Daphnia pulex: one gene and its partners. The protein of the gene in region 1 interacts with the protein of each later gene in a pairwise test. Links are inferred from orthologs where the notes say so. Each region holds a gene or a part of one and is shown in the gene's direction. Other genes may lie near its edges. The genes, in order: homeotic protein ultrabithorax-like, protein mothers against dpp-like, LIM/homeobox protein lim-7-like, myocyte-specific enhancer factor 2-like, 60S ribosomal protein L22-like, mothers against decapentaplegic homolog 3-like and nuclear cap-binding protein subunit 1-like.

The links.
Region 2: the proteins of homeotic protein ultrabithorax-like (region 1) and protein mothers against dpp-like interact in a protein complementation assay, tested with the Drosophila melanogaster proteins (2 studies listed by BioGRID). The link is inferred for Daphnia pulex from reciprocal best matches to the Drosophila melanogaster genes Ubx and Mad.
Region 3: the proteins of homeotic protein ultrabithorax-like (region 1) and LIM/homeobox protein lim-7-like interact in a protein complementation assay, tested with the Drosophila melanogaster proteins (2 studies listed by BioGRID). The link is inferred for Daphnia pulex from reciprocal best matches to the Drosophila melanogaster genes Ubx and tup.
Region 4: the proteins of homeotic protein ultrabithorax-like (region 1) and myocyte-specific enhancer factor 2-like interact in a protein complementation assay, tested with the Drosophila melanogaster proteins (2 studies listed by BioGRID). The link is inferred for Daphnia pulex from reciprocal best matches to the Drosophila melanogaster genes Ubx and Mef2.
Region 5: the proteins of homeotic protein ultrabithorax-like (region 1) and 60S ribosomal protein L22-like interact in a two-hybrid assay, tested with the Drosophila melanogaster proteins (2 studies listed by BioGRID). The link is inferred for Daphnia pulex from reciprocal best matches to the Drosophila melanogaster genes Ubx and RpL22.
Region 6: the proteins of homeotic protein ultrabithorax-like (region 1) and mothers against decapentaplegic homolog 3-like interact in a two-hybrid assay, tested with the Drosophila melanogaster proteins (2 studies listed by BioGRID, with this or other methods). The link is inferred for Daphnia pulex from reciprocal best matches to the Drosophila melanogaster genes Ubx and Smox.
Region 7: the proteins of homeotic protein ultrabithorax-like (region 1) and nuclear cap-binding protein subunit 1-like interact in binary tests that used the Drosophila melanogaster proteins (3 or more experiments, as listed by UniProt). The link is inferred for Daphnia pulex from reciprocal best matches to the Drosophila melanogaster genes Ubx and Cbp80.

What each region holds. Positions count from the first base shown.
Region 1 is NC_060024.1:12,335,213-12,339,237, forward strand, and holds the start of homeotic protein ultrabithorax-like, read left to right. Parts: upstream 1-1,225; 5' UTR 1,226-1,985; intron 1,986-4,025. UniProt on the Drosophila melanogaster protein: Sequence-specific transcription factor which is part of a developmental regulatory system that provides cells with specific positional identities on the anterior-posterior axis. Binds the consensus region 5'-TTAAT[GT][GA]-3'.
Region 2 is NC_060025.1:5,190,921-5,195,171, forward strand, and holds protein mothers against dpp-like, read left to right. Parts: upstream 1-1,451; 5' UTR 1,452-1,803; exon of another isoform or gene 1,804-1,834; intron 1,835-1,888; 5' UTR 1,889-1,896; coding exon 1,897-2,127; intron 2,128-2,244; coding exon 2,245-2,707; intron 2,708-2,796; coding exon 2,797-3,105; intron 3,106-3,173; coding exon 3,174-3,414; intron 3,415-3,483; coding exon 3,484-3,643; 3' UTR 3,644-4,191; downstream 4,192-4,251. Other genes in the region: pre-mRNA-splicing factor SLU7-like, read right to left, coding at 1-147.
Region 3 is NC_060022.1:3,726,770-3,730,862, reverse strand, and holds the start of LIM/homeobox protein lim-7-like, read left to right. Parts: upstream 1-1,293; 5' UTR 1,294-1,368; intron 1,369-1,536; 5' UTR 1,537-1,629; intron 1,630-1,828; 5' UTR 1,829-2,038; intron 2,039-4,093.
Region 4 is NC_060017.1:4,807,588-4,811,574, forward strand, and holds the start of myocyte-specific enhancer factor 2-like, read left to right. Parts: upstream 1-1,187; 5' UTR 1,188-1,372; intron 1,373-3,987. Other genes in the region: phenylalanine--tRNA ligase, mitochondrial-like, read right to left, coding at 8-161, 218-446, 508-755, 823-903. UniProt on the Drosophila melanogaster protein: Transcription factor that could be a key player in early mesoderm differentiation and may be required for subsequent cell fate specifications within the somatic and visceral/heart mesodermal layers.
Region 5 is NC_060017.1:3,719,769-3,723,566, forward strand, and holds 60S ribosomal protein L22-like, read left to right. Parts: upstream 1-1,234; 5' UTR 1,235-1,377; coding exon 1,378-1,386; intron 1,387-1,709; coding exon 1,710-2,573; intron 2,574-2,636; coding exon of another isoform or gene 2,637-2,681; exon of another isoform or gene 2,682-2,749; coding exon 2,750-2,871; intron 2,872-3,039; coding exon 3,040-3,145; intron 3,146-3,205; coding exon 3,206-3,247; 3' UTR 3,248-3,298; downstream 3,299-3,798. Other genes in the region: syndetin-like, read right to left, coding at 3,532-3,645, 3,740-3,798.
Region 6 is NC_060021.1:6,119,682-6,123,824, reverse strand, and holds the start of mothers against decapentaplegic homolog 3-like, read left to right. Parts: upstream 1-1,343; 5' UTR 1,344-1,635; coding exon 1,636-1,693; intron 1,694-2,057; coding exon 2,058-2,193; intron 2,194-2,260; coding exon 2,261-2,454; intron 2,455-3,204; coding exon 3,205-3,525; intron 3,526-3,592; coding exon 3,593-3,976; intron 3,977-4,038; coding exon 4,039-4,143. Other genes in the region: translin-like, read left to right, coding at 32-111, 175-256, 323-468.
Region 7 is NC_060022.1:6,378,315-6,382,406, reverse strand, and holds the start of nuclear cap-binding protein subunit 1-like, read left to right. Parts: upstream 1-1,292; 5' UTR 1,293-1,416; coding exon 1,417-1,447; intron 1,448-1,512; coding exon 1,513-1,790; intron 1,791-1,845; coding exon 1,846-2,039; intron 2,040-2,106; coding exon 2,107-2,278; intron 2,279-2,338; coding exon 2,339-2,560; intron 2,561-2,620; coding exon 2,621-2,721; intron 2,722-2,782; coding exon 2,783-2,954; intron 2,955-3,018; coding exon 3,019-3,186; intron 3,187-3,246; coding exon 3,247-3,499; intron 3,500-3,558; coding exon 3,559-3,692; intron 3,693-3,758; coding exon 3,759-4,083; intron 4,084-4,092. Other genes in the region: uncharacterized protein LOC124196162, read left to right, coding at 1-147, 237-424. UniProt on the Drosophila melanogaster protein: Component of the cap-binding complex (CBC), which binds cotranscriptionally to the 5'-cap of pre-mRNAs and is involved in various processes such as pre-mRNA splicing and RNA-mediated gene silencing (RNAi).

The sequences.
Region 1 (4,025 bases):
AAAATACAGCGATAGCAATTGTAACTTGTAATTGTCTTGAATTTTCTTTTGGCATGACAAGATGCAATTGTAAAAAAAAGAGAAAATACAAGGAGTCATAGATTACTTTCTATATTTATTATTTTGTTTTTCCTTCCCCCTCAAATTAAAGTTGCTGCACTGAAAAAAATCAAATAAAACATAACCAGTGCGGGTTATGTAGGCCTCCCAAAATGTTTCAACTCAAATTCTTAACTCTCTCTCCGGCTGTATTCGAAGGCCGAATCCAAGTTGTAAAAAAAAATAGGGGGGACGACACATCCAGCAGACTTTGTGTGTAAGCTTAATACTACGTGTCTTATATTTTAGGCCTAGAAAAGCGACAAGAGTTTGAAAAAAGGGGGGGCTGGATAGCGGATCCCCACCAATATAACCCCTTGTATAAAATCTACCAAGAGAGCGAGAGAGAGAGTGGTGGTGGTATATTCATATATTGGATTCCTATGGGCCTTCCCTTAAGAGTTATACAATCTCTCCTGTTATTGGGAAAGAAACCTTTTTTCTTTCTTGTGTATTGCGCTGGATATATATAACCCCAAAAAGAAGAGAAGGATGGAACATAAAAATTGAAGGCAAGAAGAAGAAGAAGAAGGAAAGAAAAGGGACAGTCTTGGCGGCGGATAACTGCTCTAAAACGTAACCCTTATCTCTTTTCTCTTGGGTCTCCCCCCGAAAAAACAACCATGGGTTGGGCGCAACCGGCACATACACACACACACATAGTGCGCATACACACACACACCATATAGGCCCTGGCCAATTTTTATTTGGGGTGGGCATCCTCCTCTTCCCAATAAAACGCGGAGAAGAGCAAAGAAGCCAAAGAGTCGTAAAAAATGCATATCCCTTCTTTGACTCTGTGTGTCCTTCGACCCTTTTATACACGTATATATACATCTATCCTATCCGTGTGGCTATGCAAGAGGTCCCCCCCGATATCACCCGTTTTTCTTCCGACGCAACACCCGACTGACCCCCCAATTCTTCGCAATATAACCGTCACAGACTCACACAGCCGAAGACGAGGGGGTAAAAACTTCTCTAGCTGGAAAGAGGGGGTTATAAAAAAAAGAACGGCTGTAACAATTTCCTTCGGAGTATAACCCCAATAACATCTCCAGCATCTTTGTATAACTTTCCCCACCAGAAGAAGAACTGGAAGAAGAAATAGAAAAAAGGACACGCCACATTCTTGAGCGACTCCTCCTTGATCGGCCGTGGCATGTCCTTCTCACAATCACATCAGTTCCGACTCTGAGGCTTGACCGATCACAATGTTTTGAGCAGCTCGATCACAGAGACATTGTCCTTCAAAAAAATCAAAGTCAAAACCCGATCGAAAAAAAGTTTCGTTGCCCATTCCGTCCATCTGATGGACTCGCAGACAGTGGAGCGCTGTCCGTCCAGCAGCGCTTGACGACACAGTAGTTAGTTAATAGCTAGTCTCAATATATAACCCAGTCAGTGAGTTGGTGATCGTTCAGGTGCAACTAGAAAAAACCCAACAAAAAACAACAACGTTGGACATCCGAAAATATTTCGTCGCAATCATTATCGGCATCCATCCATCCATCCGTCTGGCTCCCACAAGTGCGGACCTTGTTACCTTTTTTCGTGCGTGTGTTGTGTGAGTGTGTGTCTGTGTTTCGAGGCCTCCAGAAAAGAAAAAATTGTTGAGGTAGTCGAGAGAGAGAGAAAGAAAGAGAGAAAGAGGAGTCGAAAATTGCGAGTTTCCTGTCTGTTGGTTGAGCGGAAAGTGCCGGGCCGATGACGACGCCGAAGGACGGCCATTTCCACGCCCGACGCCAACGGATTACGCAAACCGCGACTACTCCCTCCTCCTGCTCCGCCGCCGTCTTCTTCTCTCTTTCTCCTTATTTTATCGCTTCATTTCCACAAGAGATTCGGCAAAAGAAAACGCAACTAAGAGCCGCAAAAAGTCCTGGGTGAGTTCACAGTTCTTTTTATCCTCCTTTTAAAAAATAATTTCCCGCGCTAGTCATACATTAGCGAATAACCTTATCGCCAAACTCCGAGCGATTGGCACCGACCAATAGATTGACTCTCAAAACAGCAGTTGGATCGTCGATTTCAACACAGTTACAAATTTTTCAAAAACATTTTTTGGGTGGTTTTTAAAAGTTAAAAGGGACTCGGCGGCGATGTTCAAGGAGCCTCCCAGGAGTTGTAGGCCTAACGCTAAAGGCGGCGGTTCAAATGGCTAATAAAAAACTTTTAAAAAGCACTTTGTGACGAATTGTGCCCAACTGTTTACCCCAAAACACATTACAGGCCTATCATTCTTCACCATTTTCTCTCTCTCGAAAAGTCAACTAACGATATACTATATATTTGTTGATTCAATTTGTTGGTATCGAGAATAACCGCTGAAACGCTTCGAAAGATCATTAGGAGCCCCCCTCACCGAAATAGGCCTAAAGGTCACCGTATAGGATATACTATCTAGTCTGCGCATACATGTAGCCTACTAAAAACCGACTTGGATAAATCATTCTTGGTAATAGCAGCAAGCCAGCACACGCGTATTGATGATTGTTTTACTTTTTATTTTATTTTTTCCCGGGGAATAACGAAGAAAACAAACTGCGGTCGATGTTTTTTTTTTGTTTTTGTTTTTTTCTCTTCTTCTTCCTCCGTTCGTGACTATTGGTGCGAGTTTTTTTTTTGGGAAGCCAGCGTCGGCATAACGAAGTATTTATCCCTTTTTATTTTTTTGCCCGTCTTTCCTTTCTTCTCCAACTTCTCTCCCAGTGACTTTCGGTTGGTGTCGACTCACGACGCCCAAATTACGTGTGTAGATTAGAGAAGAGACGACACACAAACAGACAAACACAGACACAGCGGCGCGCAAAGTCAAGCCAAGTATGCCGCGTGAATGTTATATAGGACCGGACGGGGTGGAGCGGCGGCCGCAAGAGAAGAAGAAAAAAACCAAACCAAACAAAAATGACTCCAGTAGAGTGAAAAGAGAGCGCCCAGCAACGTCGACGGCTATACTAAAACCTACACTTCTCTATACGCATAAGAAATATCAGTAATATGTAATTTAGTCAGAGCTGCTGCTGCTGCTGCTGGCTGCCCAATTTCTTGCCGTCTTTACGCACAAGTCGCGTTTCGTAACAACATTACACAACGGCGGCGGCGGCGGTTCCATTTCCCACACACGGCCCCAACAGTCCGTGTTTTCTTTTTCCTTCTCATTTAAATGACCAAATAAATAAATACATGTTGACTGAAATGTATATCCACATCGCGATGTGCATATATACTCGAGTAGTATACATACAGCCAGAGAAATATGCGTGTTAATGCTTCCAGTATATACATACGTACGTATATATACTACATATACTCAGAGCGTACGAATATAATCATGATAATTATCTGGGCGTCGTCGACTTCTTCTTCTTCAGTTCGGTGGCTTCGACGTGGTGGTGTTTGTCTACTCTACGACATCTAATACAGAAATCTTATAGCTACTGCCTAGCCAGCCCATAACTACACATGTGTACAGTTGGGATATATACTTGCTAGTGGCCTACTATTTCTACCATTTCCGCCGAAGCTCGCTAGCTCTCAATGACTGCACTGTTTATTCTTCTTCTTCTTGTATAGTTCCTCACATCCGGCGCGTGAGGTCGGGAGGGGGGATATGCTATCTGGAAAATGTTATACATAACGTCAAACTGAAATCATAATAATCATAATCATAATAATAATAGGCCGTATACTAAATACATAAAATATAATGAATTGCGGGGGCCGTGATCAGGGCTGCGTGAAGCTGCCGGGACACGCGGAAAATAGAAAAGAAAAAAAAACAAGAGTCCCATAGCTATGGGAGCCGAGTAGAAGGCAGAAGACGAGAGTTCCGTTCCGCAGATATAACTACGGATGGTTTCCTTGTCTCCATAAATATTTCCCAAGTCGAAAGAAACAGAGGAAGGAGTCGGAAGAGAAAGAAG
Region 2 (4,251 bases), on another chromosome or scaffold:
AGCTGGTGCAGTTCCTGCTTTCCTGGCTTCTTCTAGCTCTTTTGCCTTTCTCCAGTCTTCTCGAGTTTTCTTTTGAGGTTCACTACCTACAGACTGAGATTTGCTAGCTATTAGCAGCGAAACTGGTAAACTTGGAGTGTTCGCCATTTTAGGAAAATTTTTCAAACCAACGAGTAAAAGAAGTTGATAAAATTCATGTGCTACAATTTTAACAATTGGTGTGAAATGAACCAGTTTGCAATGTTCGTTTGTCAAGCAATCCTTTATTCCTTTGATTGTTATTGCGATACACGAATTTACGACTCCACGACACTACACCTGACTACACATAAGGGGAAGTGGATAAAGTGTGGGTGCGGAATGCAGGACTGCAGGAGTACTTCATGCAGCCTGCTGCCTGCAGGGTTGCTTGTTTTTACTTTTTGTACGCATAAATAGGCCTCAAGCGAGTATGTTCAGTCAGGGTCTCAGGGAGTCAGGTTCAGGATCAGAACTAACATTTCACATTTCGATAAAAGTGATTGAGGCGGCTCGGCTGAAAAGTGAAAACGTTTATAATAATAAAGTTGGCTAAAAATGGTCGCGGGAAAAAACAACTTTTTAAAAACAAGTTCTATTTTTTGTTATACTCTTTTTTAAAAAATGTGAGCCATCTCAAGTTTAGACCATAAATCCATCAATGCTGAACGACAGGGACGATTTTAATCATTTTCCCAGTTGATTTGAACATCGTAATTTAGCGGATGTCTATATGTAGAGTAGCTTTTCTTGTGCGTTTCGCCGTTTCATACGGGAAAATATTGAATCTTCGGAATGGTTTTTACGCATCTTTGTTTGCGATTCATACGTAACGGCGCGCGGCTGATAAGGATAACGGGTTACGTTAGATTTAATAGTCACTAAAAATTGGAGCTTCGTGAATGTTCCCCATAACCTTGCTATTTTGTGAAAATAATTTGTGCTAGTGGTTACAGCACTAGACTGAATACGGTACTCTTGGGTCTGTTGTTTTTCCGCCCCTCGTTATGTCGTTACACAATTAAGCCCCATTACCTCCATTAAGATATTAAGACTGAACAGATAAATGATTTGGCTTAACTACTCAATAAATTAATTTTAATTTATTATATTTTAAATAATTTGACTTGAGAAAACATTCGATTCCCTGTGCTGCTGAATCTGAAATTCCAGAAAATACTTTGAAAATTTGTTGTAACATATTATCGCGATTAAATAATCGATTTTGGTCTTTTAACTCTCGTTATTTTATTTTATAAGATTATAAATACAGTTCATAATGCACTAAAAATTCCAAATGCTTTTGCAATTAGGTTTTTATCGAGTATAGAACAGTTGTTACTAGGCCTATATCAGCATCATTTTATCAAAGCAAAAAGCAAGAAAAAAACGTCTCTTGTTGTTAATCGATCAAAGCAAAAATCGAACGAATTTTGTGCTACGATGCCACACTTTACGTTTATGTAATTTCAGAAGTGCGTCATGCCATTCTTTATGAAAAATTTCCCAACTTTTTAATGCATCTCTTCTAGATTTGGAACAAAAATCAATTTAGTATTCGCGCAGTTACTAGTATGAATACGTTGTTGTGATTGTCATTTTAAAATTGTTGCCTTCGCTTCAGTATACTTGAGGTTGAGGCAGAGGCGCAGAGCTTGAGGTTAAAAGCGGGCAAGCGCTCAACAGATATTTGGAGAGGCGTTGACACGTTGTAAACTGTTGATTCTGGAACCACCTGCAATTAACAATTTAGCGTCAATTATACATCATTTTGGAGAGTGGCAAGTAATAACTTCGAACATCCTGATTCATTGAGGTTTAAAGAATTTAAATTTAATGTGATTGATGACTTATTTTTTTACAATTTCAGATTAGAAGATGTCTGCACTTAACAGCCTTTTCTCATTTACAAGCCCAGCAGTGAAAAAGTTGCTTGGTTGGAAACAAGGAGATGAAGAAGAAAAATGGGCTGAAAAAGCTGTTGACTCCTTGGTAAAAAAATTGAAAAAGAAGAAGGGTGCCATAGAAGAGTTGGAGAAAGCACTTAGTTGTCCTGGACAACCGAGTAAATGTGTTACTATTCCAAGAAGTTTAGATGGTAGATTACAGGTAAAGAGTACTTGATGCTATCTTAAAATTTTGCATCTACTGACTTTTTGTCATTTGTTCTTCATCCTCTAGCTATTTTAATTGTAAAAAGTTACATGTTTCTCAATTGTGTTCCAGGTTTCACACAGGAAAGGTTTGCCTCATGTGATCTACTGCCGTGTGTGGCGTTGGCCTGATTTGCAATCTCATCATGAATTAAAACCCTTAGAAATCTGTGAATATCCATTTTCCTCTAAGCAAAAGGAAGTTTGCATTAATCCTTATCATTACAAAAGAGTTGAAAGTCCAGTGCTTCCACCTGTTCTTGTGCCAAGACATTCAGAATTTGCTCCCGGACATTCACTTTTACCTTTTCAACAGCTACCTGAACCAGCAATGCCTCATAATGTCTCTTACTCAGCTCATGGTTTTGGAAACCAATCTGTTGGCTTAACTCAAGCACCTGGACCTTCAAGCACTAAAAGTATGGAGAGGCCTGTGACAAGTGCATTAAGTACCCTTTCTGTTAGTCCCAATCCTACGTCGCCCATGAGCAATGTTTCAAGTCCTGCCCCAAACAGCCCTTACAACAGTTTACCAGGTCAGAGGAAACATTCATTAAATCATTTTTGTCCAACACTAGAATCTTTTGCATGTATTAATTTGTATGTGTATTTTCATTTGATTTAGCTGAAACTCCACCACCAGCCTACAGTCCCCATGATGAAAATGCTTCATCCCAGGAACCCATGGATACAACACAGGGACCAGTGGGAGACCTTGCTCCTGTGGCTTACCAAGAACCCATATATTGGTGCAGCATTGCTTATTATGAATTGAACTCTCGAGTTGGCGAAGTATTCCACGCCCAATCTCATTCAATAATTGTTGATGGATTTACAAATCCTGATAACAAATCTGATCGTTTCTGTCTTGGTCAACTCTCGAATGTCAATCGTAACTCAACCATCGAAAATACGCGCCGTCATATTGGCAAAGGTTGTATCTAGCATCTAGCTTTATTTACCATGTTTCACTGTGATAATAATAAATTTTATTCCAATTAGGTGTTCACTTGTATTACGTTGGAGGTGAAGTTTATGCCGAATGTCTATCCGACTCTGCTATATTTGTTCAGTCACGTAATTGCAATCACCATCATGGATTTCATCCCACAACTGTATGCAAGATTCCTCCTGGATGTTCCCTTAAAATATTCAACAACCAGGAATTTGCTCAGCTTCTGTCACAATCAGTCAATCATGGTTTTGAAGCAGTCTATGAGCTCACCAAAATGTGCACAATAAGGTAGCTATTAGCACACAATCGCTAAATTGTATTTCATTCATCGACATGTTATGAATTGTCACCTTTCAGGATGTCGTTCGTCAAAGGGTGGGGTGCCGAATATCACCGTCAAGATGTTACAAGTACGCCATGCTGGATAGAAATTCATCTTCATGGACCATTGCAATGGCTGGATAAAGTTCTCACTCAAATGGGCTCACCGCACAATCCTATTTCATCTGTCTCATAAGGCTTTCAACCTGCATCGTGTTTTATCATGGGAATTATTTTGTTTATCAACGACAATCTACGGTAATAAGCAAGGCTGCGTCAGTGTGAGACGAACGTAGATATGTGGCAGCCTTGTTGCGGATATATTTCAATGCCGATAGTCTATTTTTCACTGTTGAACAATTCACACATCAATATTAAATTGTGAGTAAATTTTGCTTTCACCTCCCTTTAATGTAAACTGAAGGGATGCTGCTTTTTTATGTTAACTTCCTTTAGCGACAAGTTTTCGTGTTTTTCATCTATTCGGATAGGGACACCATTATAACATTATGTGCCATATTCTCCGAGTTTGCTCATTTGGATTTGAAGAAAATTCGAAGTGTGGGATCCAACCACTTAAAAAGGGAAACATCAATTTTAAAACAACATTCTTGCTGATTGATTTTTCATGAGGGTGAATGACAATTCTTTGATAATGGTAGAGATTCATTATGTGCTTTGACGTTCAAAATTGTTCTTTAACTATGTACTCGTACCATTTTATTAATAAATGACGAAATCTTATTAGGTTTTATGTGTTCATTTTTTTTTCCCGAATTGGAATAGTCCACCGAGAAGAGCTTT
Region 3 (4,093 bases), on another chromosome or scaffold:
CAGCAGCCAGCAGCAGCTGTGCCGAAAGAGAACCCTGGGCGCATCTATCTCTTGAGCTGGAGACTGTGATGTCCGTTTGTGTGCTGAACTGATGACGCCATTGGCTCTTGTATACGCCGTCAGCCAGTTGAGCCTCTTTCTCTTTGCTGGGGCTGGCGCAACACAAACGGGCGGCCGGCGCCGAAGCTTTTACGTGTACATCACGACACTGTGTCTGCTGTCGGACGGACCGTGTTGTCGTCTACCAATGTCTATACTCTTCTTCTTCTTCTTTCCTCTTCTATTTGTGTGTGTGGTTTATAGACGCAGGAAGGCCAGCACACGAATGGTGGTAGTATATAACACACATAGGGGGTGGGTTATTTTTTTTTTTTCGCCTGACTAACAACAGCACGACATCAGCTGCATAGATGTGTGTGTGTGTGTGTGTGACACTTTATGTAACATGCAGTCTCAGCGACCAACTGGCCATTGAGGTCGTCGTTCGGTCGCGCCTGGATCAGTTCAGATAGCAGTTAATATATTTTATATGTACAGAAAAATCCATCAGCAATCATCTATTTAGCCTCGATGGCGACAGTCTTCTCTCTTTCTATAGTCTGCTTCTTTTTTGAAATTGATTGTCGATTTCAATCAAATGGAGGAGATAATAATAGGTATATTCATTGGCAAATCTCCAGACGTTTGTGTGTCTATAAATATATTATGTAGATGGCGAAATGGAATTTAGATATCGAAGGATTATTACGGGGGGGGGGGGGGGTCTGGCTATTAATAGTTTGGATTCAGTAACCTCGCGGGCGGTCGTGAATAATCCCGTCAAAGAATGGCTGACGCTGATGTGTGTTTATATGTGCATCATATAGGCCGCCTCTAGACAGTGTGTTGCCTTTATATTGATTCAATAATCCGCAAGGTTAGGTTATTTTTTTTTTCCTTTCTTCTGTATATCAATAGATAGCGGGAGGCTAAATACATTAGAAAGCACTGCATGTACACCCACACAGGGCGCACACCTATTAGGCGATTATGGTCGGGATTAAGTTGGCGCTAAATTGGAGGTGGAAAATGTGGAAGGAATGTTTAAAAAACTATTTGATTCCAGCTGAATGGCTACGAGAAATGTTTGAAATGTTTGTATGATTTAATAGTTTATTCCCTCTTCCTCTTGAATTGTAGAGAGGGGGCAGGTCGATTTTTAATTTCGATCGATATCTTATCAGATTGCTATTTAGAATATTAGTGTCGTCTGCTTCATTGTCTTTTTTGGAGGGAAACGTCGTTGTAAACATGTGGTACGTCTTCTCGTCAAATCTGGTCGAGGTTATTTATGGAATAGTTTAATACACATTCCATGCTGTTTAGCAGGTAAATTAAACTAATAATTAAAATAGAATGATTATGTGAAGTTAAATAGAAGAGTTAAACTTGTTCCAAATTGTGTGAAATATTAGTTCATGATTAGCATTAATGATGAAAGCCCTCTATCAATGCATGGCAGTTTGTTTAAACTATATTACCTTTTATTTTGTGCAGATGTGAGGCCTGAGCCAGACATTACCACAAGATATACATGTTTCGCTTGTGCTGGACATGTCATCAGCAAGTAATCTCAGTGTCATCCCTTGGGTAATGTTTTTTCGATACTTTTATCAACCTGTTACCTTTTAGATATTTTAGTGATTAATGCCTTTTATTACATGAAAACCTTCAATTCTCCTATTTATTAAAGTACGGTTTACCCATGGTCTCATTATCAACTATTCCCCATGTGAAGTTGATGTTTCTGCCAATCTTTTTCGTAACAAAATTTTTATTTTTCATTTAGATAAACAGCATCCCGTTTGGTTGGAGAAACTACCGATGCTGACCGTGTTACGGATCTCTTCTTCCTCTTTTTTAAATGTCCTCGTGTACGCCCATGCGAGTGTGGGTGTATTCACGATGGCCCCCTTTTTCCTTTTCCTCCTGTTGGTGAATTCAACTTCTCAGCGTGAATCACTTGTGGATACCTGGCTGTGGATTCCCGGACGTTAAGGTAGGACAAATGCAATTTCTATTCTTCCTTCTCTTTGCTATTTGATGGCGTTGATTCTAAATTGTTACGGAGCATAGATCATTCGTGAGCTAGGTAGTTGACTGCAACTGTTTTCTCTTGCCTTTTGTGTTGACTCAGTCAGGGTCCATTCAAATAATTCAATTGTAAAACGACTGCAGATCAGGCCCGGTTTTTCGTACCTCACAACGTTGTCTGTGGGTAGAAACAATCGAATTCATTTGAACTTTACACAATTGAAGCAAAGTGCAACCTAGAAATGTTTGATGACACGCCACACACCGGCACCCGTAACGGGGTTCTGGTTACGGGTGTGTGCATAGAGAAATGTCCCACAAATAGCACTCGGCCATGTTTGTCGGTTTATTTGACTATGAAATTGAAACGTCGTGTCTTTCCTCTTTATTTCTTTTTCAAAAGCGGCATTTTGCCAGACTTATTTGGCCCTACCCAGTCGCTCCAAAATAAAACAATAGCCAATAAACGTAAAACTCTGTTTATTACGTGGTTATATAATATCGGTGGAACGACCACCCGCCGTTTCATTCCAACATTTCAAATCATTTTTCAAATCATTTTATATTCAACGTCTATAGCTGCAGGCGAGATTCAAATGGGAGCAGGTGTGATCAATCATGAGAGCGTACTTGTGTACACGCTGAAGCCGAAAGTGTATGAACTGCTGCGAAAGCGAACCCCCCTTTTTCACCCACGCATTTATTTCCCGAAATGTTGTCTCTCCTGCCCGAACAATTGGCTAATTATCGATATAGATTCCGGCTGTATGAAGCAGCCATCCATCGAGCACTCGACAAAGTCCGTCAAAAAGAGGCGGAAGGCCCCATACACGATCCATTGTCCACACTATGCGGCGGCTGCTGCTGCGGTGGCTGCTGGATGGGAACCTATATTCGTACAGGATATAATAATCTAACCCTTTTTGATATATAGGCACATATTTTGTGCCCGTCACACACGTCCGTCCCCCCCTCCTCACTGCGTAGGTTTCAAGAGGTGAAAATGCCAAGTGAACCGGAGGGAGAGCAAAAGGATTGCGCCGAGTTTTAGTTGCGGTACATTTTCAGTTATGGGTGGGAGTTGGGGGGTGATTGGATTCGATGCGGTCGGGAAAAGAGGGACAAAACCGGTGCGGTCGCAGCACTTTTTCGATATGAATCGACAGCGGCGGTAAAAAGAATCAAACGCGTCTATAGGCGTCCTACTGATGGGGGGGACGGACAGACTCTCTTTTGCGTGGGGTGCGGAAGTGGCAGTCAACGCCGGCACGTGACTCTCGGCCGATCGGCACGCGACTCGGACGCCCGTTTCCGATCGGGCCGGCCGGCGCAAGCGCTAGGGCTTAGCTGCCTCACGGATGGGAGGAAATAGAATTCAGTTGACTGTTCTTATTGCCACCTTGTTCTCTGCCAGCATGCTAGAAATTCGACGTTGATAACTGGAACCGCCTTTTTACATATGCGCCCAATATCCATCAAAGTCACGTCGTAGGCCTTTTTGTACAGCCGTTCCAGCAGAGTCATCCAGCAGTTGCAACTCTTGTACCAAATTTCTTTTTGTATCGCGCCGTAATGGACTTGGTCGATTGTCTTGGCTGTCGTCGCCTTCGTGTTTCAAATGTGACGGTGATGGTTACGGCACGCGTTCAGCCACGGCCATTGAAGCAACACGTGACCAATCGGTTAATTAGATCCCTTTTTTTCCTTCCTAATATGCTGATGTTATTCTTCTTGATAGACTTTGACGTTGTTTATATGTCAGTTCGGTTTGATGGATGGACAGCACACTGTAGACACCACAAAGCATACGTCGTGCGGTCGGAATAGGTTTTGAGGAGGGTAAGTGGAGCTGTTTACCAGAGTCTGTCCGGCGGAGTCCTCGGAGAGATGACGGAAGGATTATTGACAGTCTCTGACCTCCTTGTGACACTTTTTCTTCTTCTATCCACACACATACATAGGCCGGCGACGTCGACACGTCTCATATTCCATACAAACTGTCGCTCTTCTTTTTTTTACT
Region 4 (3,987 bases), on another chromosome or scaffold:
CACTTACCATTGCCAAACAAGTGATGGACTAACTTGGTGAGGCAAGTTTTCAATTCATGTTGGAGTTTATCAGAAGTTAATTCAGTGTGATATTCTTGCTTGTGAGGAGTACGCTTTCCATCTTCGAACAACTCTACTTTTTCTTTGTCTATATCATGAAGCTATAGGGGGTAAAACATTTATTTTATATTCCATGTAAATTTTTAAATAACTATACTTGGTGTTTGGCAAACAGTCTCACACCTTCAGCCTGGTGGAAAACTGGAAAATGTGAGGCATCAATTTCGTCTCTTCTATACACATCACCCATGACAACGAAACTATCTAAGCCACTAGCAATCAGCTCTTCTTGATGAGAGCTAGTGTGTCCCCTCAGTATGAAATCCTTATTTAAGTAGTAGCAATCTGAGGGTGTTCGACTTGGATGGTCTTGAGGAATCAGCAAACTGAATCACCACTATATATTAGTGCAATTTGACAATTAATAAAAATATTAGTTGGTTGAACCTGTCAAAATTCTGTTTGGTAGTGACGATAGGATTTAATCTATCGAAGACAGAGAATATTGGATTGCCAGCGTGATTTGGAAACGATTTGTACATAAAGGAGATTATGTTCTCTCTAAGAAGGCACAGAGGATGTCCAGGTTTCAAGTGCAAGTTCCTGTTGAGATACTTCAAAATATTGGGATTGACATTTGTCCATTTGTCCCGATTGAATTTTCTGCCATCGATGTCAACAGTAGAGGCGGTAAACTGTTTATGGGTGCAACGTAACAAATGAAATACAATTGGCTCACATTTTCAATTTATGAAATACAACCTCTACATTTGGACTAGATTTTGATGCACAGTTCCGACATTGCACAGCGAAAAACCGTAAACTTTTCCTCAACAGGGTCATTACGTACACGTGTAAAATTTCTCATCACTCGGATTCAATAATGGTAAATAAATGTATTCCAACTTCCTGTAACAGTGATAGATGGCAGTCACAACATTAATAAAAAGTAATCGGATAAAAAGTGTAATAAAACAGTGTTCAAATCAGCGGAAAATGATTCATTTGCAAAATTCGATACGATGCAAAATGAAATAAAATTTTAAAAGAATCATAAAAACAAAATTAAAAATTTCCCATTGACGAGGAACGACATCAGCGCCACCGCTCAGACACGATGGTGGCTCCCTCGTAATGGAGTCGGTCTCTGGCACTTGTTGTAAAGGGATCTGAGAAGAGAGACGTGTTGTTGTCCATTCTGGGCTGTGGTTAATCGTGAAACAACGTACACACACAGTGCTGTTTACTTTTGTTTTTTGTTACCCTCTACACTTTGGAGTGCGTGTTGTCTCCCCGTCAGTTATCGAATAAGGTAAGTGTTTTCAAGCTTCAGTCAATCACGAAATCCAATCGAATATTTGCACGACTGTGTCGGGAGCAACGCGAAAGAGTTGGCCGCCACACACATACACAAATTTAGTCCATTGACCAGCACACACATACACGAGAAACACAGTCAAGTTTACTGCTATATTTCCCAATCTTTTTGGAACGTTGATTTTTTATTGGGGATGGCTAGATCACACGCAAGTCGTTATTGTTTCATCGGTTAAAAACCAGCAGGTGTATGTAGAAAAAAATTCTGGGTGTGTAAAGGGGGGGGGGAGCACATGTTAAGTTTGTGTGTGTGTGTGTGTGTGTAAAATGTTGATTGTTAATCCAGTCAGGCCACTTTTTATTTCAATCACCCAAGATGGAAAGATGATTGGGTTATACAAAAAGAAAGCACCTACTTGTGTGTCTATAAGAATGTTCATTTCTCTCAACATCTTGTCGACCTTGACTTTCTTGTTAAGTCATTCGTGTGGTATGGCAAGAGAGTTGCCGGGGTGACGAGGTACAGTACCGACAACATTGTGAAGCGTGAATCGTGTTCGCCGGACATTGTCAGAATCGACTCGAGTCTGGTACAAAACGTCTGAAGGCCCTCGGGGCGAAATAAAAAAGGCTCTTCTTCATCTTCTGTTGCAATTGCAGTTCAAAACTTTTTGCTGAAACGGGGTATCCTCACTGTACACCATTGGTAATCGATATGCTAATGACCCACCCCCTTTCCTCGGGTGGCCTCTCTGCCAAGAACGGCGAAACGTTCTCGGTATATTCCAATTTTCCTCTTTTCCAATTTTGTAAGTAATTCAATTGGTGCCTTTGGGAATATTACAGTTGGTAGGCACATGGATGCATAGGGCATTAGGGCTATTTTTAATGAATGCCTTACTTGCACATTTTATTTTAGTACGTAGACGTACATTTAAAAATAAATTTCGCAGAAAGGGATGGCGGTGTATTATTCAAACGACCTTGAACCTCGTGTTATATGAACTTTCCATTTTTGGGGCCTAACAACAGACAAAATAAAAACCCCCACACCCCTTTGAGGACCAACCCCCTCATGTTTCTTTTCAAAAAATAAATAAGCGGCTATTATTGAAATGCATTCCGGAAAGAAAAATGGTGGTTGCAACCCTACGGGGTCGCAGTTTTTGCACATACAAAATGTTGTTTTTAACATTTCCCCCCCGAAAAAAGTAGAGGGTTAAAAAAAAGGGGTTTATGCGAGTTCCTTTTTGATGTATTCACCAAAACGGATATTTTCTTTTTGTTAAAAGGAAGAATGTCAAAGAAAAAAAGTCTTCCATCTCTTTTCCGTTCAATTGAACCCCCTCGTTTTGTTGTCTGATCCCCCCCTTTTTTCGCTTCAAGGTTCCACGCCGAAATGATTTTGTATGGGAAGATGAGAAAAACCTGTATATTAAAAGATCCAAAGTACAGGTGAGATAAAAATCACAGTTTTATATTTTTTTAAACTAGCGCAGCTTGAGAAACAATTTCTCAAAAAAATTTTGTTTTTAATTTCCTACGGACGAACAATTCCGCTCCATTGTTTTTTGAACGAGTTTTTTTTATTTCACTTTGTGCGTTCGTTTGATCCGTCACACACAGAGTGCTGTGTGTGTGTGTGTGCACGAAAGCATTTCGTAGGGAAATACAACGTTCAAGTCGTTGGCCACTACACGCTGATGGACTCTCAATGTTTTAGCGTCATGGCCGTCTGCACTTGATAAAACGAAACGATTCGCTCGACTAGTTTTCTTGTTCTCGTACGAAAACACACACAAGAAAGAAAAGTACGAAAAAAAGGGACGAATTGTAAGTTGGAAAATGTCGCCATTTCCCAAAGATAACTTTTGGAGAGTTTTTTCCCCTTTTTATTTTTGCGCAACCATGTAACTTGTCTCCCGTCGTTTGATTTCAAAAGGCAATTGAAAGGAGCCGCCCAGACTTTTTGTCTCTAGAGCGAAGAAATCGATAATTTGTGTTGTCGTCCGCTCCGTGTTCTTGTGCATCCTCCTGCTTCCTTGTGTATTATGTATTTGCCCTTTTTTTTTTTTTTCGCCGCGTGAACCGTTCCTCCACGAGTGATTTAAAGTGCGTGGCCAACTGTCACGTTCCTCTACCAGTAACCTGTATCTCCAACTGAAAAGTGGCGCCGCCTTTTGACTCTTGTGTGTGAATCGTTGGCGCCATTTTTCATCCATTTTTTGGTTGTTGTTGCATCGGCTAGGAGCAGTTTTTTTTTTCTTTTCACGGTCCCGCACGAGCCCCTTTTGCTGCCGCGTACAGTCAATGGCGTGTAGAAAATCGTCCCACACTCACCATTATTATTGCTATTATATACCCAGTGACCCTCTCTCCCTTCCTCGTTCAATAGGAAAAAGAAACAAAAAATATTAAACAATAAGTGGTCGGTCGGTCGAATCGAAAATTCTCAGCCGTTAGGTCGTTTGTGGTTTCTCTTCTTTTTTTGAGGGTAAAAGAAAAGAAGCGGATGGCAGGAAATCAAAATGAAAAGAGTACAATAAAGCGTTTTCTCTCATTTGCTCACGTTCAACCTTCATTTTGGGTTATCGTCAACGTGAGGTGGGG
Region 5 (3,798 bases), on another chromosome or scaffold:
GGCTAAATGCGGTTAAATATTTTTAAACAGACATTCGAGGCGACTCTTCTACATATACAGTCATCAATGTTTAAAAAAAGTTAAATGTGTAAAACTTTGAACTTTAGAGTCTAGGCGGTATATACTACGCCGGTTATTTCGATGAGGGCGGATCGAATGGAGTTGATCGTTTCCGAGATGAGACTATATATACTTAATGTTCTTCTTTTTTACTCTCTCGCTCTATACTACTCTCTACAGCTATTCGTTTTTCCTCAACCACGCGATTTTTTACGACAGCCGCCCATCCGTCCGATGAGCGTGACCGAAAGCAATTACAACTCAAATTTATTGTTTAGACTGGTCTTTCTTCTATATTATGCACGTCCCCCTTTACATTTTTCACTTCATTATTTTCGTTTTCGGTTAGTCTTTCTTGAAAAAGAATAATAATTTCAGATTCAGTATCTTCAAGGATCACTAACTTTATCTATATATTAATAAGTTAGTTATAACTTATAAGCATAAGGACAACGGCAGCAAAATCACCATTCTACCGTGCACCATATAAGACGGAAAGGACCCAGGACCGAAGGAGAGGCCTAACGATTTTTATTTTTTATTTTGGTCAAGGATATAGCTACTTGAAACGACTACCTCGGGCCATCTACTGGTGTTTTGACGATTTGAAAAATGACATCTAGTGGTAATATATGTTCGTGAGTGAACCATGAAAACATCTGCTCACGCAGTCACGCTGCTTGCATATAGCCATATAGGAAAATAGGTGAAGATGTATCACACATAAAATAATAAGAAAAATAACAAATGTACATGTAAAATAAAAAATAACGAAATAATAAAGCGAATTAAATAGTTAGTAAGAGTTGAGGCTAATGAGGTTAGATTACCCCACGTCACACTTTGTTCATAATTGTTACGAGAATTCGTTTATATCACCACACACATTCACTGTACGGAATGGTTTTTCGCTTTTGCTTTTATCTCTGCTTTTAGATATTTTTCAACACATAGAAAATCCGCTGCATATATTTGTCGTTATTGAACCTACACAGATACACTATATTTTTGAAATAATTAACTATTTATTTTCCGGTAGGGTTTTGAATAACGGTTCTTATCATAAATAACTACAAAGTTCATGTAAAAAATGTCCGATTAATTCTACGTTATCATCTTTTTTCATAACTTTACTAACTTCACTACTAATGAAGTCTGACCGAGGAGCGCAATCAGATTGAGTCCCTACCGCACATGTGTTTAGGGATTGAATAGTAACGAACAATAAGTGGCAGCACTCGTTTTACACCTTCTCTTCCTATCCTCATTTTTGTCAGACTCTTTCACTTATCTCGCTTCTGCATCAGGAACATCACCATGTCGCCGGTAAGAGTACTTTTAAACTAGCAAATACGTGGTAAATTGACTGGTAATTGTCTCAAGACGAAAGTAATGTATTGAGTAATATGCAAGTAGCTCAGTTATTGATATTTTTTAACGTTTTTCATATATGTTAATTGAATATTGAAATAGACCACGCTGTCAACGTGGTGTGAGTGGGTAGTACCTTAGGGAAACTGATGATACATCCATTATAACCGAACTAGAGTCTCTGAATCTTTATGTTGAATGGATTAATCTGAAGTTTCATTTGCCTCATGTTTAAATCATGTTTAAAGTTGAAAGTTAATGTGTCTTATTTTTAACAGGCAAAGAAAGCACCAGCATCTGCTGATCCCAAGAAGGCCCCGGCCCCCGCTGCAGCCAAAGCTGCCCCAGCTGCTGCTGCTGCAAAGAAGCCAGCTGAGAAAGCCCCTGCTGCCAAAGCAGCCCCAGCTCCAGCTCCAGTGAAGGCTGCTGCTGCAGGAACCGCTAAAGCTCCTGCTCCAGCTCCAGTTACCAAAGCCTCTGCACCAGCCGCCAAAGCTGCACCAGCTAAAGCTCCAGCTGCACCTGCTCCTGCTGCCAAAGCCCCAGCCAAGGCTGCAGCACCAGCAAAGGCAGCCCCCGCTGCTGCTGCCCCTGCTGCTAAGGCTGCTCCTGCTGCTAAAGCTGCTCCTGCCAAGGCTGCCCCCGCCAAGGCTGCTGCTGCTGCTAAACCAGCGGCTGCTCCAGCTCCCGCTGCTGCTGCTGCTCCCAAGAAAGGCGCTGCTGCCCCTGCTCCAGCAGCCAAGAAAGAAGCTGCTGCCCCAGCCAAGAAAGGTGCTGCTGACAAAAAAGCTGCCCCTGTTGCTGCTCCTGCCGCTGCTGCCCCAGCTAAGCGAAAGGCTGATGCCCCTGCTGAAAAGAAGGCTCCAGTTGCTGAGAAGAAACCAGCTGTTGAGAAGAAGGCTGCTCCGGCAGCTGCAGCTCCCAAGAAGCCAGAGGCTGCTGCTAAGAAACCAACAGAGAAAAAAGCTGAGAAAAAAGCTGCTCCATTGAAGGCAGCAGTAAAGGCCAAGAAGGAGACTCCCAAGAAACTGGAGGCTGTCAAACTCAAGGGAAAAGGCTACAAGGGAAAGAAACTTAACCTCAAGTTTACCATCGACTGCACTCACCCAGTTGAAGATGGCATCATGAATGCAGCTGATTTTGTAAGTAGCTATCCAAATCTTATTACTGAGGGACTTATGTTCCAAAGTACTAATGATCAATAGGTTAGGGTCACCTTCCCTAACTGGTTGGACTCTAGATTCCCTTAATGGGTTTCTGTTAGGGTCACCTTCCCTAGAAGAGTCAGTGAAGACCAAGATCTCTTATTTGTTTACAGGAAACCTACTTGAAGCAGCACATCAAGCTGAACAAGAAAGTTGGAAACTTGGGTACCCACATCCAAACTGAATTGGCCAAGAGCAAGATCATTGTTTCCTCAGATGTTCCTTTCTCCAAGAGGTATGTGTTGTTCTGGTGTTTGATTACAGTAATTGATATGATGATATATCCATAAGATTAACGAACTAGAGTCTCTGAAAACTGATGTGTGGACTACTCTGAGACTATTGTTGATCTTTTTAGTAGGTAAATGTAAATCAGTGAATAAGTATTTTATGTTTAAATTAGGTATTTGAAGTATCTCACGAAGCGGTATTTGAAGAAGAACAACCTTCGTGATTGGCTGCGAGTCGTTGCTAACGGAAAGACCTCGTACGAGCTCAGATATTTCAACGTAAGTGAATAATATCAAGTGATAGTACCAGTAACGTAACTAATTTGTTTTTGTTTTTAGATTAACAACGAAGAAGAGGATGATGATGACGATAAGGAATAATCTGTTTCTCTTGTTCCGTTTTTGCTATCTGGTAATAAACGATGGCCATGACATTTGTACAATTATTATTGTGGAAAATTTCACTATTATTCTAGTTAAATTCGAAAGGTTCAAGTTGGTTTTAAAGTAGTTAAATAATTGCGATAGACCAATCGAGTTTTTAAATTCCTGATATAAGGTGACAGTTAAATGATGGAATGGAATAACCTTTTGACACGGAAATTCTGGTTGATATTATTACACATAACTTGTATTATCGGTAAAGATTAATTGCAACATTTACGTTACCGACGATTCAAGTCCAAGTCTTCCATAAACGAGGTCAAATTTAAACGAATCTTTTTACTTCCTTGACTTACACACTGGAGAAGATTCATCATCTGCCTTGGAGAATATTCCTGAAAAATGATCAATACAATTTTTATGTTGCTTTAACTTTAAACAATACTGAAACAAACTAAACTTCTCTTCAAACCAAATCAAAATTATTACCGTTTGTTCTTGGATCCATTTTTCCAATGCATTTTCGGGAAGATAATATGCTTTAATGT
Region 6 (4,143 bases), on another chromosome or scaffold:
CAAATTTAATGCATTTATTCTTGTCTTTTAGTATCCATAAAAGAGGAAGATGGTTTCCATTTGGATGTTGAAGATTATCTGTCTGGACTTTTACAGTTGGCTTCAGAACTGGTTTGAACTTGTTTTTAATCTATTACTTGAATTAGTTTATTTCATTTCTGATTTATTCCACAGTCTAGGTTGGCAGTAAATAGCGTGACTGCTGGAAACTATGATTTGCCCATTCGTATCTCGCGATTCGTCTCCGAGTTGAATGGTACCATATAATTTGCTCGCTCCACGATTCATAAACTTTTACTACTTTTTCTTTTCGACTTTATAGGTGGATTCCGTCTCTTAAATCTGAAGAATGATTCACTGCGCAAAAGATTTGATGCTCTTAAATATGATGTGAAGAAAATCGAGGAAGTGGTTTATGATCTCTCCATTCGTGGCCTTCGATGTCGATCGCTTACTATTACCAAGTGAATTAACGTTAAGTTTTCAATGTTGTGAACCAAGAATGTAAAATCTTAAATGTGATTTCCTGGTCGAAGTAATGTATGCTTCAAGAATTCGTAAAATTAGTTTGTTATTTAACCCGTTATATCATCGCTGACGTAATGAGAACGGAGAAATCGACGGATAGTATTCCGATGATGTCATACTAACCGGGATCCGCCTTTTTAAAATGAAAACAACTTACATAACAAAATCATTAGTTGAATTGGTAAGTGTATTACCGTTAGAATAGGTTTTATTAACTAGACAGTCTACATCGACTGCTCATCATAGTAGAAAATCAAAGTCGAATAAAGGTATTCGATTTTGCGTGAAAAATTTGGTTTGCAACTCTGAATGGCTCGTCGTCCGAAATCCGCTATTCAGGTCGACACGCTCGCGGCTAAGGTATTTTCCCATTCATTCATTCGTAGTTTTCCGAATTGTTAAATATTTGTGTTTGTTTTTTCGTATGCAAATGATTCGAAAAGCAAGTTTCTGATTCGCTTTAAAGCACAGTCGCATCTAAATCTGTTTGTTGTCATGAGATCAATCCTTAAGAACTAGTTTGTCTGCGTAGGAAAACGTCTGTGGATGGATACACGAATGGCACACGGAAGAAATTGTTAGTTCATTATATGAAAAAGGCCCTTGGTAATGCTTATTTAGAAACCCCTCCTGCAGATGGCGATAAATGTACGTATTAGACTTTTAATGCTAACAACTTAATGAAGAATCAATAAAGGACCATTCTAATTTTCTCTAACCGAGTCATTACGGTATATCAAATCGAACGATAACGTAACAATGAAAATATTCTTATGAGATTTCAAATTGAAACGAACTTTATATTTCACTGTTAGTATGTGGTGTGCTGCCACCTATCGTTCATGTTCGAGAAACAGATCCCAAATATTAACTTAGGGTGCCGTCAAGTTGTAGTTTTGGTTTCTTCTCTGACGAAGTCTTAGCACTAGCAGAGCAACAGCACAGCAACGTGAGTGTCGTGTCCGATCATTTTGATTTTGACCTCCCAATGATGATTGTGACTCGTTAGATCGAATTTCAAGTTTACTTTTGGCCGAGTGATTTTTTGTGACTTTTGTGCTTATGCGTGTTTCGGCTAGTTTGTGATGGTGAAGTATTGCTTATAATATGACTTCATTGATACCCTTGTCATCCCCAGTAAAGCGATTGCTCGGTTGGAAACGAGGTATGCTTTTCTCATTTGGCAGTAACCTTTTGGTTCTTTTCAAATAGTATTTAGTGTTGAATCAAATAGATACAAACAATCACATTTTAGTCTCAACACAGTTGGAAAGAGTTTCAGCTAGTGAAGTAGTAAAAATGGTACTCTTGAGTATGGGAGATTTGACAAAGAATTTAACGATTACTACAGCATAACATATTATGCAACACTTAAGAAAAGATCAAAATAGTTCTTGTAGAAGCATTTACACACCATATTTTTGTTCCTGTTGCCAAGTTGTTTATTGGTCTTTCATTTATCCATCTGACACAATCAGTTGCCAAGTGTTAAATAAATGTCAAATTTCTCCTCAACCTTTCTATTGAAGGTGAAGGTGAAGAAAAGTGGAGTGAAAAGGCAGTCAAAAGCCTTGTTAAGAAGCTTAAAAAAAGTGGTGGCTTAGATGAACTGGAAAAAGCTGTAACTTCTCAAAGTTCCAGTACAAAGTGTATTACAATTCCAAGGTATGTAACATGATAAATAACATAAACAATCTATACCTATTTAACCTAGTCAATTACATCTTTGCAGATCTTTAGACGGCCGTCTTCAAGTATCCCAACGTAAAGGACTGCCTCATGTAATTTACTGTCGCCTGTGGAGGTGGCCAGATCTTCAGACACACCACGAATTGCATGCGCTTGAAAATTGCGAGTACGCCTTTCAGCTCAAACGAGACGAAGTTTGTGTTAATCCTTACCACTACCAAAGGGTGGAAACACCAGGTATACTTTACACAATGTTTGTTTTTTAATAAGCAAACACAACTTAAACAAACAACTCTAAATAAGATGTTTATTTTCTTTATGTTTTGAAAGCTCAATGATCTGATTTGATTGATCATTTTAAAGAAAACATGTTTTTCACTGCATTTCAGTAAAAAGTTACTTTCTAATAATGTGTTAGTAGCAGTTGTAATTCAAATCATTTTGAAGTTGAAGACCTACATACATAGCTTGATTTGTATAGGGCTTCAGGCTTTGTACTTCAAATCAAACTGTATGAGGTTTAGCTGGAAAATTGCTCATCAAATTTACCCTCTCTAAAAACAGTAAAGTAGTAAAAAAAAAATATTAAAAACAAAATCTTGGGAAAGTTTGCTACTATTTACTTCAAACATATTACATCGCCTTGGGCGTGACAAGTGTCCTATTGTAAATACTTATCTGTTCTCAGGAATTTTACTCTGAAATGAAGTCATAAAGAATTGTCGGTCGTAAAGTAAAACTAAACGTTTGTTGCTACAACTTTAAAGCACATCTGTTTTGAATTAAGTGTGAGTCATATCTCACTTTATCATCGATAAATTGAAAGAAATGAAACTCTATTAGACATTTCTTAGAATTTTGTTTAGATATGTGTGAGACATCTCGTATCCCGCATCAATTTAATATGACTAACAAGTGACACTGTTCCAATTGCTTTTTAAAAATTTACAAAAACCAAAAACCTAAGGCTTTATTTCTCCCGTGTAGTTTTACCGCCTATCTTGGTACCACGCCAAGCGGAAACTGGAGTGAGCAGTGTCAACCTTTCATCGCCAGGAACCAATAACAATCATCAAATTGTGACAAGCACGGTCGCCACAATTCAAGACCTGCTCTCGTTGGATGATCTTCCGTTATCGATAGCCGACGGTCCAGACTTTATCATGTCGACCGCCGGGGTGAATTCACCTAGTCCTGCTTCTATTGGTGGAAGCGATGGTGGTGGCGGCACTTTTCCATTAACAGAAACACCTCCCCCAGGTTACATGTCAGAAGATGGCGACACGCAAGAACCCGCTGATTTAATGAGTGAGTCATTCATATTCATTCATATTCTAAATTCTGTAATAATGTATGCTTATCCTTTCACATCTAGATGTCAGCCGAGTGTCACCCAGCCCCCCCATCGACGCCCAACCGGTTATGTACTGCGAACCGGCTTTTTGGTGTTCGATTAGCTATTATGAATTGAACACACGCGTGGGAGAAACTTTTCATGCATCTCAGCCATCCATTACCGTTGACGGTTTTACTGATCCCAGCAACTCGGAGCGGTTTTGCCTGGGGCTGTTATCAAACGTGAATCGTAATCCTGTTGTGGAGCAGACTCGCCGTCATATTGGGAAAGGAGTTCGTCTCTATTACATTGGTGGCGAGGTTTTTGCTGAATGTTTGAGCGATTCGTCAATATTTGTACAGTCACCAAACTGCAATCAGCGCTACGGTTGGCATCCAGCAACCGTTTGTAAAATCCCACCAGGTAAATGTGTTCGTTTGGTATCAAATAGAAATGAGCTATATCATTGTTTTCTTTTTCTTTAGGTTGCAATTTAAAAATATTTAACAACCAAGAATTCGCCGCTCTTCTATCCCAGTCAGTGAGCCAAGGCTTTGAGGCTGTTTACCAGTTGACGAGAATGTGCACTA
Region 7 (4,092 bases), on another chromosome or scaffold:
CAGCGGAATCTTTATCCACCAGTTCAGTGAATAACAGTAGTGTCCCATCAACAACAAATCCTGCTGTGGAGAAAAGTGTGAATGCGGGCCGTAAACGGGCCGAGAGCACACGTACAAGAGACTCAAGTACGAACAATTCTTTACCAGGTATGGCTCATGTGGTTGTTAGCATACTTCCATTCACCATTAATTTTATTATTCACTCTTCGTTTTAATCATTTCTTTTTGTATTGTAGTCAATGCAGCGGAATCTGTAGGCCTATCCACTAGTTCAACGGATGACAGTTATTGTGTGTCAAGCAATCCTGCAGGCTTAATCAATGCCGCTCATCAAGCTGATGTTCGTTCCATTCCATCCACAGTTTGCACTACGAGCCAAGTTGTGAATTGTAGCCAAGGTATACGGACGATTCGGCAAATTTGACGTTTGCCGAATTGGTTTTTGCCGAATTGGTTGACTTTGTTATTTTCCCGAATCGTACATACCAATTCGGTAAAAAGCCAATTCGGCAAAATTGTTTAAAATGCCGTTGTAAGGCCAGTGGCGCTAGCTGTGTGGGTTTCGGGTAATCAGCGCCACCACCAACACGCGAATTATACTGTCTTTCCCGAGAGATCTTTGAGCCCTTCCCGACATAAACACAAAACAAAGTGGAACCTGCTTTAACTGCCCATTCTTTTTTAGAAAACCATGGAGGGAAAATAGTTGAGTGAAAGGGAAGTTTATTATTTTAAAGGTTCCGTCGGCATACCATCGAACGGCAGTTTTCAAAAGCGCTAGTTGTTCGTCAGTCATGAAAATTAAATGACGTTTAGAACCAACTACAACTTCTCCTTTAAAAAACGAAGTGGGCATTAAGTCCATTTTGATTTGAAAAAAAAGATCAATTGGGTTTTTAGCAGTGCGCTTTGCTTTTACCCGATTTACAGCCCTAGCTAACGTTGTGGGGTTAATTGGGTTCCACAGTATTTGCCGCCAATTTACATTTGCACAGTTGCCGAATCGACTTTTGCCGAATCGGTAATTTCATAGGTGACAATTCGGCAACTTTGCCGAAACGGTTTTCGGCGATTTGCCGAAATGGTTTTTGCCGAATCGTCCGACATTCGTAGCCAATTTCACCTAAATTGAATTCAACAAATCCCATTTTTGCGTGAATTTAATTCAATTCAGCTGAATATAAACTGAATTGAATTTTTGCGCCAAATTGCGTTGCCTAAAATAAACAATTTTTACAGCTACGTTGTCAAGTTATGTAAACTATTTTCACGATCATCGAAGTTTATGATTTCATCAATAGATGGCGTCAAATTAACAGCTTCTTTAATAGCTCCATATGACAAACAGTCAAACAGGGTGGTAGTAGTTTGTCTGTCTTGTAAGCGTCGTAGACCAATTTAAAATAAAATCAAAGAATGAGTCGTAGGAAACGTGATGATGGATATGGTAAGGATTACAACTTATTGAAGAATTTGATGACATTATAAAAAGTTATTTGTTTAAAATTACAGAACATGGGTATCGTAAAAGGCGCAGAGTTGTCTCGGAGCAGGCAGAAATTGAAGACCGGTTAGAATCTCTTATTATCAGGGTTGGAGACAAAACGTCATCATCTTTAGAAAGCAATTTAGAAGGGCTTGCTTCAGTATTAGAAGCTGATTTGAACACGTACAAGAGTAAAATATTACGTATTTTGTCGGAATGCCCAATCCAAATGCCAGAGAAATGTACTATCTACAGCACATTAGTTGGTCTTCTGAATGCTAAAAACTATAATTTTGGAGGAGAGGTTTGTTTTAAAATTGTACTTTCAGTTTTTAAGATACAAGTATATCTTTTTTTAGTTTGTGGAACAAATAGTGAGAAACCTAAAAGAAGCTCTCCGTGAGGGGCAATGGGAATCTGCTCGTTTAATTGTACGTTTCATATCTGACATGGTCAACTGTCACATAGTCTCTGCCTCTTCCTTGCTACAGTTATATGACAGTTTTATTGACGCTGCCATGGAACAAGGAGTTCCTCAGGTTCGACGAGACTGGTAATTAAATTTTTGTTTTATTCTAAAGCAAGAGTAATGTAGATCACAACACTGTATCAATTTACAGGTACATGTATGCGTTGTTGACGGCGCTTCCTTGGGTTGGTCGAGAGCTTTTTGAAAAGAAAGAAAATGATCTTGAACGTATAATGGCAGCAATGGAAGGTTATCTTCGCAGAAGAAATACTGCTCATGTCGCTGCTCTTCGAGTTTGGAATTGTGAAACTCCGCACCCACAGGTCAGAAATGGCATGGCATTTTAATAATAATTGAAAAATTTCGAAAAACGTTCTTTCTAGGAAGAATACCTGGAATGTCTTTGGGCTCAAGTACGGAAATTGCGGACAGACGAGTGGCAGGAAAGACACATTTACCGTCCATATTTAGCTTTTGATTCTATCCTCTCTGAAGCTTTGCAACACAATCTCCCGGTCATTCTACCTCCGCCTCACACAGCTAGTACGCAATATCCGCTACCATGGGTTGTTTTCAGGATGTTTGATTACACTGACTGTCCAGAAGTAAGTTAAACGCTTTCAAAAGTGTGTATCGTGCGTATTTAACTCGGGACTCATTTTCAGGCTGGTCCACTTTTACCAGGAACTCATTCAGTAGAGCGTTACTTGATTGAGGAACATTTACACCAGATCATCACTCGTCATCATAACGAACGCAAGGAACTGTGAGTTTCAACTTGACAGAAACGTTTGTGCAGATAATAGTAAATTAATTTTGCTTTTCAGAGCCACCCAATTGTTGGCGTTCCCACAGAGAAATAAGATCCCTTTGGAATACATGATAGTTGAAGTTCTCTTCTCAGAACTTTTCCAAATGCCTTCCCCTCGTTACTTGGAGATTGCTTATGGTTGTACTTTGATAGAACTTTGCAAGCTTCAACCAAGTACAATGCCTCAGGTGAAAATATGATCTTACAGTAGAAACTTGAACATTTTCATTTGACTTTTTATTTCACAACCAGGTGTTAGCACAGGCTACGGAGTTGCTTTACGAAAGAATTGATACCATGAATGCCACCTGCTTTGATAGATTCGTTTCTTGGTTTTCTTACCATCTCAGTAACTTTCAATTCCGCTGGAGTTGGGATGACTGGCAGAATTGTCTTTCACTCGAAAAAGACCACCCCAAGGTAAATGTTTAAAAAAATGAAATTTTTCGAAATCTATCTAAAGGAACACTTAAATTTCAGGCAAAATTTGTTTCTGAAGTGTTCGGGAAATGTTTGAGACTCTCCTATCACAAGCGCGTGACTGAAATGGTGCCTGAATGTTACTCACCGCTGTTGCCCCCGAAACCAGAACCGTACTTTAAATACCAAATTGAAGGAGGAAATGGTTTTCCTGGGGCTGCTCAAGTCCAGACTTTGACTGAGCTCCTAAGAAAAAAGCCAACGCCTGAAGAAGTACTAGAGTTGGTCCAGCAACTACCGAATCCTCTCAAAGGTAAATATGGTGGATACAATATGTATAACTTCAAGCCATTTTGATGCAATTGTAATTAGATGACGACGGGGATATGGAGCCTTCACACAATCCTCTAGCAATTGAAGTATTTGTTCAGACTCTGCTACATTTGGGATCGAAGAGTTTTACGCATACTTTTGCAGGTCTCGCTAAATATCATTCAGTCTTCAAGGTATTTTCAACAGATTGAAATGTTATCGATAGTATAAAACGATTCAATTTTACGTTTCTGTCATAGAATATTTGTGAGAATGAAGAGGCACAGATCTGTATGCTTCGTCAAGTTTATGAGCTCTGGCAACACCACCCACAATTTTTAGGAGTGGTAGTTGATAAGATGTTAAAGACACAAATTGTTGAGTGTTGTGCCGTAGCAAATTGGATCTTTTCACGAGACATGGCACCCGAGTTCACTCGTTCGTACATTTGGGAGGTCTTGCACTTGACTATTCGCAAAATGAACAAACACGTCGTCCGTCTAGAGAAAGAGGTGGCGGATGCACGCGCTAAACTCAGAGCTGCACCATCTGATTCGGAATCATCTGATGAAGATCCATCTAGAGGTGCGAACA